Coturnix japonica: one gene and its partners. The protein of the gene in region 1 interacts with the protein of each later gene in a pairwise test. Links are inferred from orthologs where the notes say so. Each region holds a gene or a part of one and is shown on either strand. Other genes may lie near its edges.

What was found.
Region 2: the proteins of PCSK5 (region 1) and MEOX2 interact in binary tests that used the Homo sapiens proteins (3 or more experiments, as listed by UniProt). The two-hybrid records come from large-scale screens. The link is inferred for Coturnix japonica from reciprocal best matches to the Homo sapiens genes PCSK5 and MEOX2.
Region 3: the proteins of PCSK5 (region 1) and NUFIP2 interact in binary tests that used the Homo sapiens proteins (3 or more experiments, as listed by UniProt). The two-hybrid records come from large-scale screens. The link is inferred for Coturnix japonica from reciprocal best matches to the Homo sapiens genes PCSK5 and NUFIP2.

The regions. Positions count from the first base shown.
Region 1 is NC_029547.1:33,589,527-33,592,009, reverse strand, and holds part of PCSK5 (proprotein convertase subtilisin/kexin type 5), read right to left. Parts: intron 2,222-2,483; coding exon 2,106-2,221; intron 624-2,105; coding exon 443-623; intron 1-442. UniProt on the Homo sapiens protein: Serine endoprotease that processes various proproteins by cleavage at paired basic amino acids, recognizing the RXXX[KR]R consensus motif. Likely functions in the constitutive and regulated secretory pathways.
Region 2 is NC_029517.1:25,764,173-25,768,380, forward strand, and holds the start of MEOX2 (homeobox protein MOX-2), read right to left. Parts: upstream 2,803-4,208; 5' UTR 2,406-2,802; coding exon 1,895-2,405; intron 1-1,894. UniProt on the Homo sapiens protein: Mesodermal transcription factor that plays a key role in somitogenesis and somitogenesis and limb muscle differentiation. Required during limb development for normal appendicular muscle formation and for the normal regulation of myogenic genes.
Region 3 is NC_029534.1:4,761,146-4,765,532, forward strand, and holds the start of NUFIP2 (nuclear fragile X mental retardation-interacting protein 2), read right to left. Parts: upstream 2,869-4,387; 5' UTR 2,759-2,868; coding exon 2,575-2,758; exon of another isoform or gene 2,328-2,574; intron 1,026-2,327; coding exon 1-1,025. UniProt on the Homo sapiens protein: Binds RNA.

The DNA of each region.
Region 1 (2,483 bases):
AAGACTTGAAGACAGGCTGTGTGCCACAAGCCTGTTTTTCAAAATTCTATCAGTTTGCTCCATAAAAATATTTTTCCACCTTACAGATCATCAGTTGTATAAAATACTACAGCTGTTTTGAAGTCGACAGTATGATTTTGACTTAGGAGCTTAAAATGATGTTCTCAAATTGCTATTCATTGAATAAAGCACTTCCCAGACAACTGTTTTATGAAGTGCTTGGCAATTTGGCACAGTAGATGGGAGTGAGAGAACTGCAGCAGTTGCAATTGCTGTTATTTGGTTAAAGACCTTCCTATTCTAATGGTAGAGCAGTAGAAATAACACCACATAGTTGTAGCTCAGCAGTATGTTTTTGCTTTTCCCCTCTTCATGTCTAGAAGTGAGCTTAGTCAGCCATACTGTCCACCAGTGGCACTGCTGCCCCTCAGGATGGTCCTACCTTGTGTTTCACTGCAGTCACAGCACTCTGGGATGTGTTCAGTGTCACTGCAGCAGGGTAGGCAGCGGCCTTCTTCCAGGTAGAGCTGCATGTCAGCTGGACAGACGGTACAGTTGAGAGGTCCAGGTCCCTTGCACTCTGTGCATGTGCTGTCACATCTCTCACACTTCGTCTCGTCCTCCTTCAGACACAAAACAAATGATGCACCTTTCTTTTCATCTTCCTTGTCCCTAACCCGAGAGTACTGCTCTGTGTTTCACTGAGTGGTCACATCTGGATGCCAAAGGTATCAATTGCAAAATACAGTAGGGAGTAGGAAAACTGAAATTTTGTTAATACTTCTTAGGCTTGTGCTGATCTACTTGTAGGAAGATGGATAAAGACTTGTAGGAGCTTAGAGATCTGACTCTGCAAGACAACTGGCTAGAACTCACTCCGCATATATGCTTTTTTTCCAAAAACTGTTTTTCTTTTGCTAGTCCTGTAGTACTAGATTTGTGTCTCTTTAGCACTAATGATATCAAAACAGCCTCCAAAAATTAACTCAAGTATAATTGAAAGTACTGAGATGGGAGAAGCAAGAGAGAATACGCTGAAGGAAGAAAAATAAAAAATAAGAAGAAAGCAAAAATATGAGAGAATAAATTCCCTTTCTGATTAGGAAGGGACAGAAATAAGGAGCAAAGTTGGCTGGAAATTTTATAGCAATGTAAAATTTTATTAGCTTGCATTGGTTCTATTTCACAGAAACGCAGTCATAGAATGGCTTGGGTTGGAAGGGAGGCTAAAGTTCACCTTGCTCCAACTCCCTGCCATGGGCAGGGCTACCATACACTAGATCAGGCTGCCCAGGCAGGGGGGTCCACGAGCTTACTGCCCTCCTGTTATGGACATAGATTGATCTAGGTAACTCTGACATGTAATAATATGTGAAAGAACTTTTTTTATAGTAAGAGCGACAGAGCACTGGAACAGGTTGCCCAGAGAGGTTATGGAGTCTTATTCTATGGCGATATCTAGGACCTGTCTGGGTGCCTACCTGTGTGACCAATTGTACTTGCTTTAGTGGGGAAGTTGGACTCTGTGATCTCTTTATGTCCCTTTCAACTTCTGCAATTCTGTGACTGTGAGATTCTGTGATCTCTGGCCAGTTGTCTTGCTTTGCTGCTATATTCTTGAACAAACATCTTTGGAAGGCAATTGGTGTAGAAACCAGGAAGCAAGCTAGCTGCACAGACACAAACCTGATTGTGTTCTTATTCTGTTAAATATACAGCGTTAACTTCAGCCTCTCTTTTCACTAGATTCCTGCTAGCAGAACTGCCTTTCAGAAATGTGATGTGATTTCTCACAAACAAAGAAGCAGAAATCCCAGTGGAAATCTCAGTTAAACTAGGGTAAAATAAATACTCTTTTAATAACATAGTTCATTTTGTACACATGACTTTCGTATCATCTTTGGCAGAGTAATGTCTTTATAATTACTCTTAGAGAAGTGTTCTAAAACAGAAAGATCCAAGAAGAGAAACAATGCTTTCTTTGTCAAGAGAAGAGGCTTTTTAAAAGCCTTGAAAACTCAGAGAAGAACATTCTGTGTTTGTGTTGTGTTCAGAAGTTAAAGGACAGCATACTAATCACAGGACCAAGTGCCTGTGAGTATTACCTCTTGTCCTGGTGCCTCCTGGACTTTGTAGTAACCTACAAAGCAGTCTGAGGTGCACATTCCACTTAACAAACTGTAGCTCCATACACAAGATGTGCAGCTGAATCCTTCCTTTCCTGAAAAGGAAAATAAAACAACAATATTAAAGCAGTAACAATTTTCATCTAACTTCATTTTGAAAATGCACTGATCACTACTACCAATGAAAAGGGACGCTTGTCAACTTTAAGAATCTGAAGTGGGGGGTCCAGCTTGAAGAAACTGGTACTAAAATAATATTGAATAGGTTATGTGTGATGCTGAGGTTTTGTGTGCTCCAAAACTGCATTCATTCTCTGTGCATAAGCAGTGCAGATGCATTTCAGAACAGCTACAGAT
Region 2 (4,208 bases), on another chromosome or scaffold:
AAAGGGAGTGATTTTTAATCTAATGAGGGGCGATTATGGATTACAAATATAGAAATGCAGCGACTAACAACAGTTCTTGCTGCCATACATTAGGATGGCATTAAGTAGCATCAGAGCTTAGGATTAATAAAGGGGTGGGGTTAAATGGTTGGTCCAAAATTCTGCCTTTTCCTGAAGAAAAACCAAAGACATTGGAGCTACCCAGCTGCTGTCAGAAGGTGCCTATTTTCAGTTTGTGAAGTTCCTCATTGTGTGAATGGACAGAACGCTTTCTTCCTCGGAGAGAGAAGGGGGCAATCAGCAGTTAACTACTTTGGTCTTCTGAAAGTCTCAGAAAGTGAGGTGTGTAGCACAGTGCTATCAATGTAAGCACAATCGCAACTTGATGTTCCCACCCGTGTCCACTAAATCCAATGGAAGGCTGCAGTCATTTCAGGATACAATCTGTGACATTCCTCAGTGTGTTTTTTTGTATGCATCACAAAATTAAATAAACAGAAAGCAATACGGATACTTCCCTGTCAGTGAAAGGGACCCATTTCCTTTTTTTCCCTTCAGCTTTAAGTACACTGACAAATACAATAAATCCCTACACCGACAGGCATTTTTCAGTAGTAACAGGGACTCAAATTGTAGCACTCCCCATCTGCCGCACAAAAATCTGACAATTCCTTTTATTTCATAAAGCGTAAGGAAGATGCAATGATGGAATTCACCACCGCTGTTTGACAAAGTACAGCTTTCATTCCTGGAAGACTTTTCAGCCCGGCTACATGAGATAAAACTCAACTAATCCTATCTTGAATGACAAAATTAATTTATTAATGTAATAATGGTATCCTTTGGGGTCATTTTCCTAAACGGTTCCAATCGTCCACCACTCTACTGAGCCAACAACATTTTGGCTGCAAGAGGTCACGGTTTCGATTGGGAACTCCACAGCTCTGTGGAAAAGCCTTTCACTTTCTCTTCCTTGATAATATACAATTCGCTACGCCCGCTCAGGAGCTCTCAGAGCACCGAGTCCTTTCCTTCCCAAGTGCCCACTGCCCCCTCGCTGCATCCCTGACGGCCCTTTGGTTTGTGTGTGCTATCTTCACATCGCCTGCACCGCACGCCTTCGGTCAGAGCTGCCCATGCCAGGCTCAGCCGGCTTAAGCAGAGATTATGTCAAGGCTTTTGCGCGCTCAGAGCTCCTGAATCACCCTCCTAAAATAACTGCGGCTCTATATGTTTTTCTGCTCGTCTTTAAGCAAGAGTTGTGGTGTTGTGAAAAGTCAGACAGCTCCTTCCTTCCCTCCGCCCCCGGTACTAGCAACTTTCTAAAGCTTTCAATCACCCGTTTGGCCTACGGACCCCAGTTTTCTCCCCTTCCACGCCGAGGACCGAGCTGCACGCACGGCCAGATCCTACGCACGGAGCGCAAAAGCTTCGGACCGTCCCGTGCAGCCCCACGCTGCGATCTCCCTCTTCAGCGCCGCGATGCCGCAGCCCGCGGTCAGGGCGGAGGCAAGGAGCGTGTCCCGTCCCCAGCTTCGAAGCAGAGGTGGCGGATCGGCAAGAGGGAGGGGGACGAGGGGCCAGATGCTAAAATCCATTCCGAAACTACGAAAGCTCTCGCCCTGTCGGATGGAAACTTTCCTCCCGCCACCGCCACCTTCACTACTTCATGCGCTATCACGTGCTGGATTTTTCCTTTTTATTTCTCCCCCCCCCGCGGCCCTAATAAAGCTGCCCTTAATGACGGACATCCCGAGAACGCGGCCGAGGGCAGCCCGGTGGCAGCCCCGCTGCAAACGGAGCAGGGCCGAGCCGAGACAGCCGGGGCCCTGCAGCGCAGCTCCCCGACACCCTCCGCCCGGGGTTCCCTCCCCGCAGGGAAAGCCGCCGTTACCTGAGCTGTCGCTTTTCCTCTTCCCAGATCTCTTCTCCGTTTCCACAGGGGACAGAGCCTGCCTGCCATAGTCCCCCGGCGCACACGCTGCCCCCGTAGGGGTGGTAGTGCCCAGGCTGGAGGAGTTCGAACACAGCACGGGGGGGCTGCTGCCCAGCTCCGGGGGTCCTCCTGAGTCCGGCTGGAGGCAGAGGCTGTGCCTGGCCGCGGCGGGAGGAGACGACATCTGAGGGATGTGCCAGTTCGTCTGCAAAGCCTGGTGCTGCTGTTGCTGGTGGTGGTGGTGGTGATGATGGTGGTGATGGTGGTGCCCCCTATGATGCTGGCTGGCAAACATGCCCTCCTCATTGGGGTATCCCGTTATTATGCAAGAGGAAGAAGAAGAAGACAGATCGGGGTAGGACATGTGGTCGGATCTTCCATGCAGGGCAAGAGAAGACTGGGAGAAAGGGTGCAAGCTCTGCGCGGTGGCATGGGGGCTGCGCAGGCAGCCAAAGAGTGTGTGATCCATGGCATGCAAGTCTCAGGTTCCAGGCAGGAGAGTTTAGGAAGGATCCAACTTCACCACCCTTTGTCAACTTTCACTGTAAACAGATCGGGGCTGGGATTTTTTTTTCCAAAACGGCAACGACCGACTTTGCAGCAGGCGACTGAGCTCAGATAATCCAGGTCTTTAGCCCTAGCGGCCAGTCTCCGCTGCATAAACACTCGGACCTAGATGAGCCTTTCTCAGAGCCGCTCGGATGTCAAGAAGTGGGAGAGGTTGAAGCCAATAGAAGGTGGTCCCAGAGAACTGCTTGAAGGGGGAAACGGCTCCGAGAGGTTATAAATACAGTAGTGTGTAATGTGAGCTGGGGGCTGGCTTAGCGGCACAGCACTGACCACATGCAAACTCCCTCCAAAACGCCAGCGCCGTCCCCGCGCCGAGCGGCTCCGGCAGCGGGCGGCAGCGCTGCGCGCCCCGGGGGGGGGGGGGGGGGGGGGGGGGGTGGCCGGGGGCGGCCCGGAGGGGAGCAGCGGCTTCTCCTCCCCCTCGACGCGAGGAGCGCGTCCGCCGCTCCGCCGGGGCTGTCCGCTCCCCCCTCCGGACGGATGCGGGGCGAGGCGGGGGGCGTCTGGGCCCCATGGGGCCATCCCCGCACCGCACCTCTCCCAGAAGGGAGCGCGATAAAGGACACCCAGCGGGATGTGCACAGGGGCGAAGTGTGGGAGAAATCAAATACACCTGGAGGGCGCGGGGCTGCAGCCCCACCTGAGCTCCCAGCGTACCTGGGCACGGCACGGCCCGGCTGTGCGAGGCTGTTCTGCCTAGCGCAGCCCCGCAGTCACCTCCGCGCACACCTCGCCCTTAAGGACAGGAGGGACCACCAGTGCCTGTGGGTCTACAACTAAACTCCCGGCGCTCAGCGAGCCGCCACGTGTTTTCGAACACAGACAAGTCGCCCCTTTTGCCCCTCCAAAAGCGCAGTTTACCCAACTTCTCTGCTTCTCCATTTGCTACATTGCAGCCTTTATAGTGGGACAACCTGGAGAGGGACAGCCCGGGCTGCGCGTGTCGTGGGATTAGCAGTAGCGCCGAGGAAGGCTGTATACGGGTTTATATTAAGATAAAGCGCTTACAGAACGCTGCCCAAAGAGATGCCCGCTGCCGAAACGCTGAGTTCCTTCTCCCTTTCTCTTCGCTCTACCTTCCTCGTCCTCCCCGCAAACCAAACTTGAAGTGAAAAGGAAATAAATAAATAAATAAATAAAAAATAAAAGGAAAAAGAAAAAGCACCGCGCTCTGTCATTTCAGTCTAAACTCTTGGGTCCATGTGCGAAAGATAAAATGAATTCGAATTGCCATTGGAAAAAATCAGGAATTGTATGAGATTTGCAAGAGCTGGTTTCTTAAACGGAAATTGAGTCCTATTTTGTGGGAAATTAGTTTTGCAGACTTTCTGGGGGAAAAAAAAAAAAAAAAAATCTAAAACTTTTGTTCAGCAGCTGCTCCGCTTTTCCTTGCAGTTTCAGGCTGAGCTGGAACCTGCAGCAGCCTTTCGACGGTAAGACTTTCCCCCCTTTTCTGCCATCTAATGCTTTTTAAGTATTGTCTCTAGATTTAACTGTAATAATGAGGTCTTTAAAAAGGGAGCGGCGTCCAAAGCAGAAGTCGCTGCCTCCGTGCACTGTTCAAAACTTGATATTTCTTCAGAATAAAGGAAATATACAGTTACAACACTGATGAAATATTTTGTGCTTTTCATTGTGTTTATCGTTTCAATATGTGCTCTAATATTAAAAAAAAAAAAAAAAAAAAAAAAAAAAAAAAAAA
Region 3 (4,387 bases), on another chromosome or scaffold:
CTGAGCGCCCGCAGGGTACACAGTGCCATCCGTCCCGGCCAGGATGGGCCCGTTGGAGAAGCTGGCAGAAGTGACGGACTTCATAGCAGACATGGGGACCTGGGACAGCCGGCTGGACGGGGCGGGCTGAGCTTCCCCGGCAGATGATGAAGACGACGATGACGAAGACGCAGATGGGGGCTGAGCTGCTTTGTTGAGGTTCTCCTTAACTTTGCTTGCATAACTTATTTTGGGAACGATTTTAGCACTGCTATTGTCCACTGGAAAAACCGGGGGTGGTTTAAATAAGGTCCACGAGTCCTCCTTAGACGCGGCCGACGAAGCGTGCTTCCCTTTGGGCCGCTCATCAAACTTCTTGCCGCTAATCCCAGGTTTGGCATCCGAGTTTTTCCTCTGCACGTCTCCAATTCCTGGTTTCCCCCTGCCCGCCCCGCCGCCCCCCGCCTCGTATTTCCAAACAGGCTTCGTATTCTCAATTCGGTTCCCCTTTTGCTCGCTATAATCAGGCTTGAAACTCTCCAGTTCCTGTTTGAGGGCCGGCGTGCCGACCTCCTGTTGCATTACTTTGTCCTGCGTGAGGTTCAAGCTCTCGCAGCCCTTGGCGCTGTTGCGCCGGCCTTTCCTTTTCTTTGGGGTGGTGTAGCCACTCTCGGAGCCGCTCCCGTCGTTGTCGGCCCCCCCTTTGCCCACGTAGCCATTGGTGATGTAGGTGGCACCGCCGCTCACCACGCCGTTGGGGACGGACACCCCGTCCTGCTTGTCGGCAGGCTGAGCCTCCCTCACTTTGCTGTCGTAGGGCTTCTCATTCTTTTTGTCCATGCTATTTTTCTGAACAAAATTCTTGGGTTTGATGGCGGCTTTCCCCAGAGAGCTGCCCTTCACAGACGGCTTCGGGGTCACGTTGGGGTCTGCGGGCTGCTGGCTGCCATTGGGCACCCTGGACGTGGGGCTGGTGGTCTCCTCTGAGCACAGAGACTTCAGTGACACCTCTCTGTCCCCTGCGTTACCGTTCAGCTCTCCATAGCCTGGAAGAAACCAAGAAGAGACAAAAGAGCAAAGATGAGAATGTGCAGCATTAAAGTTCTGACTGCAACAAGCTGCGCCCCGTTTCCTCAAGGTGTTCTGAAATAGGGAAACATCAGCTCCCCCATAAAACCACCGCAGGAGCACAGCATGGCCTGGGTTGCAAAGGAACGCAATGATCATCTGGTTCCAACCCCCTGCTGTGTGCAGGGTCACCAACCAGGCTGCCCAGAGCCACATCCAGCCTGGCCTTGAATGCCTGCAGGGATGGGGCACCCACAGCCTCCTTGGGCAACATGGGACACACTACAGTGTGTCACCACCCTCTCCTCAGATCCAACCCAAACCTCCCCTGTCTCAGTTTCAACCCATTCCCCCTTGTCCTATTGCTGCCCAATCCACACCATCTCCATCCACACAGAGCAGGGCTGAGCACCACCCATGGATTCACACACAGCACAGGGACAGCAGCGCGTTGTTGGACACAAGGAGCAAAACAAAGCAGGAGGGACACAGGGATGCGAGGAGAGGAAAGCAGGCAGCCCTGCAAAGCCCATCGCAATCCAGAGAGCGATTTCATCAGCACCATTTCCAGGTCACGCAGAGGAAATTCCCAGGATGCTTTAACAGGGGCTGCTCCTCTCAGCCCGGAGCTGGTGGCATCGTGTCCCTGCAGCACCGGGCCGGGCCCACGGCACCTCCAGCACCGCGAAAAGCAGCGCTCAAAGGGGACACGTGCCGGCACAGCAGCAGATTGGGCTGAGCTGCGGTTTGGGGATGGATGCTCTGGTCATCGCCAACGCTGCTGGATGGAGCAGCCCTTATCTGTGCATCCTGGAGCCTCAGATGCGGGGCAGATGTCAGAGCTCCAGGTCTAAGGGATACGGGAATCCTAATGGAAGGGAATCCTTATGGAAGGGAATCCTTATGGAAGGGAATCCTTATGGAAGGGAATCCTTATGGGACCGCACACACGTGGATCCCTCTGACCGCACGTTTGGCCCGGTTCGGTTCGGTTCGGCGTGTCAGCACTTCCAGGCTCCAATTCCCGAGGCCGCTCCGTTCTCTCCCCAAATCAACAACTGGGCCGGGGGGGCGGGGGGGGGGCGGCGAGGAAGGGGCGTGCAAAGGGACGGGGTGTGGGGTAAAGGGGGGTGCGGGGTAAAAGGGGCTGGTCCCGTCCATGCCCCGCGCAGCGCAGGCCCGGCCCGGCCTTTCCCCCCCGTTATCGCTCTCGCCGCCCCACGCGGTCCCGCCGCCCCGCACACCGTGTGTGTCCCGCCCGCTCCCCCCGCACATTCCTCCTGTCCCCGCTCCCCGTCCCGCTCCCCCCGCTCCCACCCCGTCCCGCATCATCCCGCACCGCTCCGCAGCCCCACGTGCCCCGCGCCGCCCGCAGCCGCGCCGGCTCCAACATGGCGGACAGGAAGCGGCCCCAGCGCGGCGGAGAAGCTTCCAGCCGGGCCGGGGGAGGAGGATGATGAAGGATGGAGGATGGATGAAGGATGAAGCCCCCCCCCCAGGAGCCGCCCGCCGCCCCCCGCCCCGCACCTGTTCTCCGCTTGGGCCCCTCCGGGTGTCGGAGCGTCGCTTTGGGCTGGGCCCGGCCGTCGGGCGGCGGCAGGAAGGAGCTCTGCGGGTAATAGCAGAAGTGCCGGTGGTGCGGGTGGTGGTGGTGGTGGTGGTGGTGCCCGTGGTGGTGGTGGTGCGGGTGGTGCGGGGGCTGCTCCTCCATTGGGGGAGGGGAAGGGGGGGAAGAAGCTTTGCGGGGCCGGGCTGGGCGCTGTGTCGCTGCTGGGCCGAGCGGCGGAGCGGGGACGAGGCTCCGGGTGGCGCGGGGGAGGCGGGGGGGGGAGGGATGGGAGAAACGGAGCTGCAATCACAGAACGGCACCGCCCCCAGCACCGCCCCGCAGCGAGGAGAGCGGCGGAACGGGAAGAGGAGAGCGGGGAGGGGGCGGTGCTGGGGAGCGGGGGGATATGGGGGGATATAGGGGGTATAGGGGGATATAGGGGGTATGGGGGGAGCGGAGAGATACCGAGATTCCCGAATAAACGGGGGAGGTTTGGGAGCGCGGAAAGGCGCTGAGCGGGGCGGGGTGGGAAGGCGGCGTGGGGTGAGTCCGAGTGTTTTGCTTCCCCCGGCTTCAATCGCAGCATCACGGTGTGACCCGGCTCGGAACGGAGCCCCAGCGGCGTCCAGCTCAACGCCCGGCTCCGAGCGGCACCGACCCGCCGTCCTTGCCCCCCTCTGCAGCTCCGTGATGTCCGCGGCCAAATGAGCCCACGGGGGACGGTCCCGGCTGGGTAATGGAGCCCCAGAGCTTTGGGGTGTCACTCCACGGCCACGCGGAACAACGCGGACCCCACGTTCCCCACGGACACCCAACGGGGCGGTGGGATTTGGGCTCCATTAGCAGCGCAGGGGGATGGGGGGTCGCCAGGGGGACACACTTGGGATGGAGAGACCCAAAAGTGAGCCCACGTTTTGTCTGGGTCAGATGGAGATCCCCATGCAGGCAGCGCTCAGTGCGGCTTTAACCTCCTGCAGCAAACAGGGCGATAGAATTGAAGCCCATCACAATATCCTCCCAAAGAGTATCCAGAGGGCACAGACCGCCCTTAACCACCACTTCCTACCTTCTCCCACATAACAACCCCATATATTTCAATAAAGCTCAGCTCCGTCCTGCATCACACAGAGCCCCCCCACACCTCAGTGCAGCACAGGGGTTGTCCTCCTGCATAACCCTGCACACAAGGCAAAACTTCCTACTGTGCTGACCTCACTTAGGAAACAGCTCCCGAAGCGAGGAGCCGGGCTTTAATCACAGCTCACATTTTATTGGTGGCTTGGAAGTGGTTTATTCTCAATGTAAGGGACTGGTTTGGAGACAGGAGCTTCAAAGGACTCTGGAGAAAGCGAGTAATTATGGACAAATCATCTCCGCACACAGAGACAGCAGAAATCTAAATGCAAAGCTCAGAGGGATGGCTGGACATGAAGGGACTTTCTCTCCTTAGAAGCTCCGCTCTGTGTGTGCATCACATGGAGCATCCAGAGCAGGAGAAACCAGATGGAAACACACATAAAGGCTCATCCCAGTGATTTGTAGGAATCATTTCTAAGACCAGTTCCCTCTCGAAGGTCTATTTGACACCAGGTTTAATTTGCATCGTATGTTCAGGGCGAGCTGGAATGAGAGAATTCATCCACAGGAAGAGAAAGATCTCATCAGCCATGGGAAGAAAAGGGACTTATTGCGTCCACCTCCATCCAACACGTCAGCAGCACACAGCCATGATGCAGCAGGTGGTATGGGGTGATATGGGGTGATATGGGGTGATATGGGGTGATATGGGGT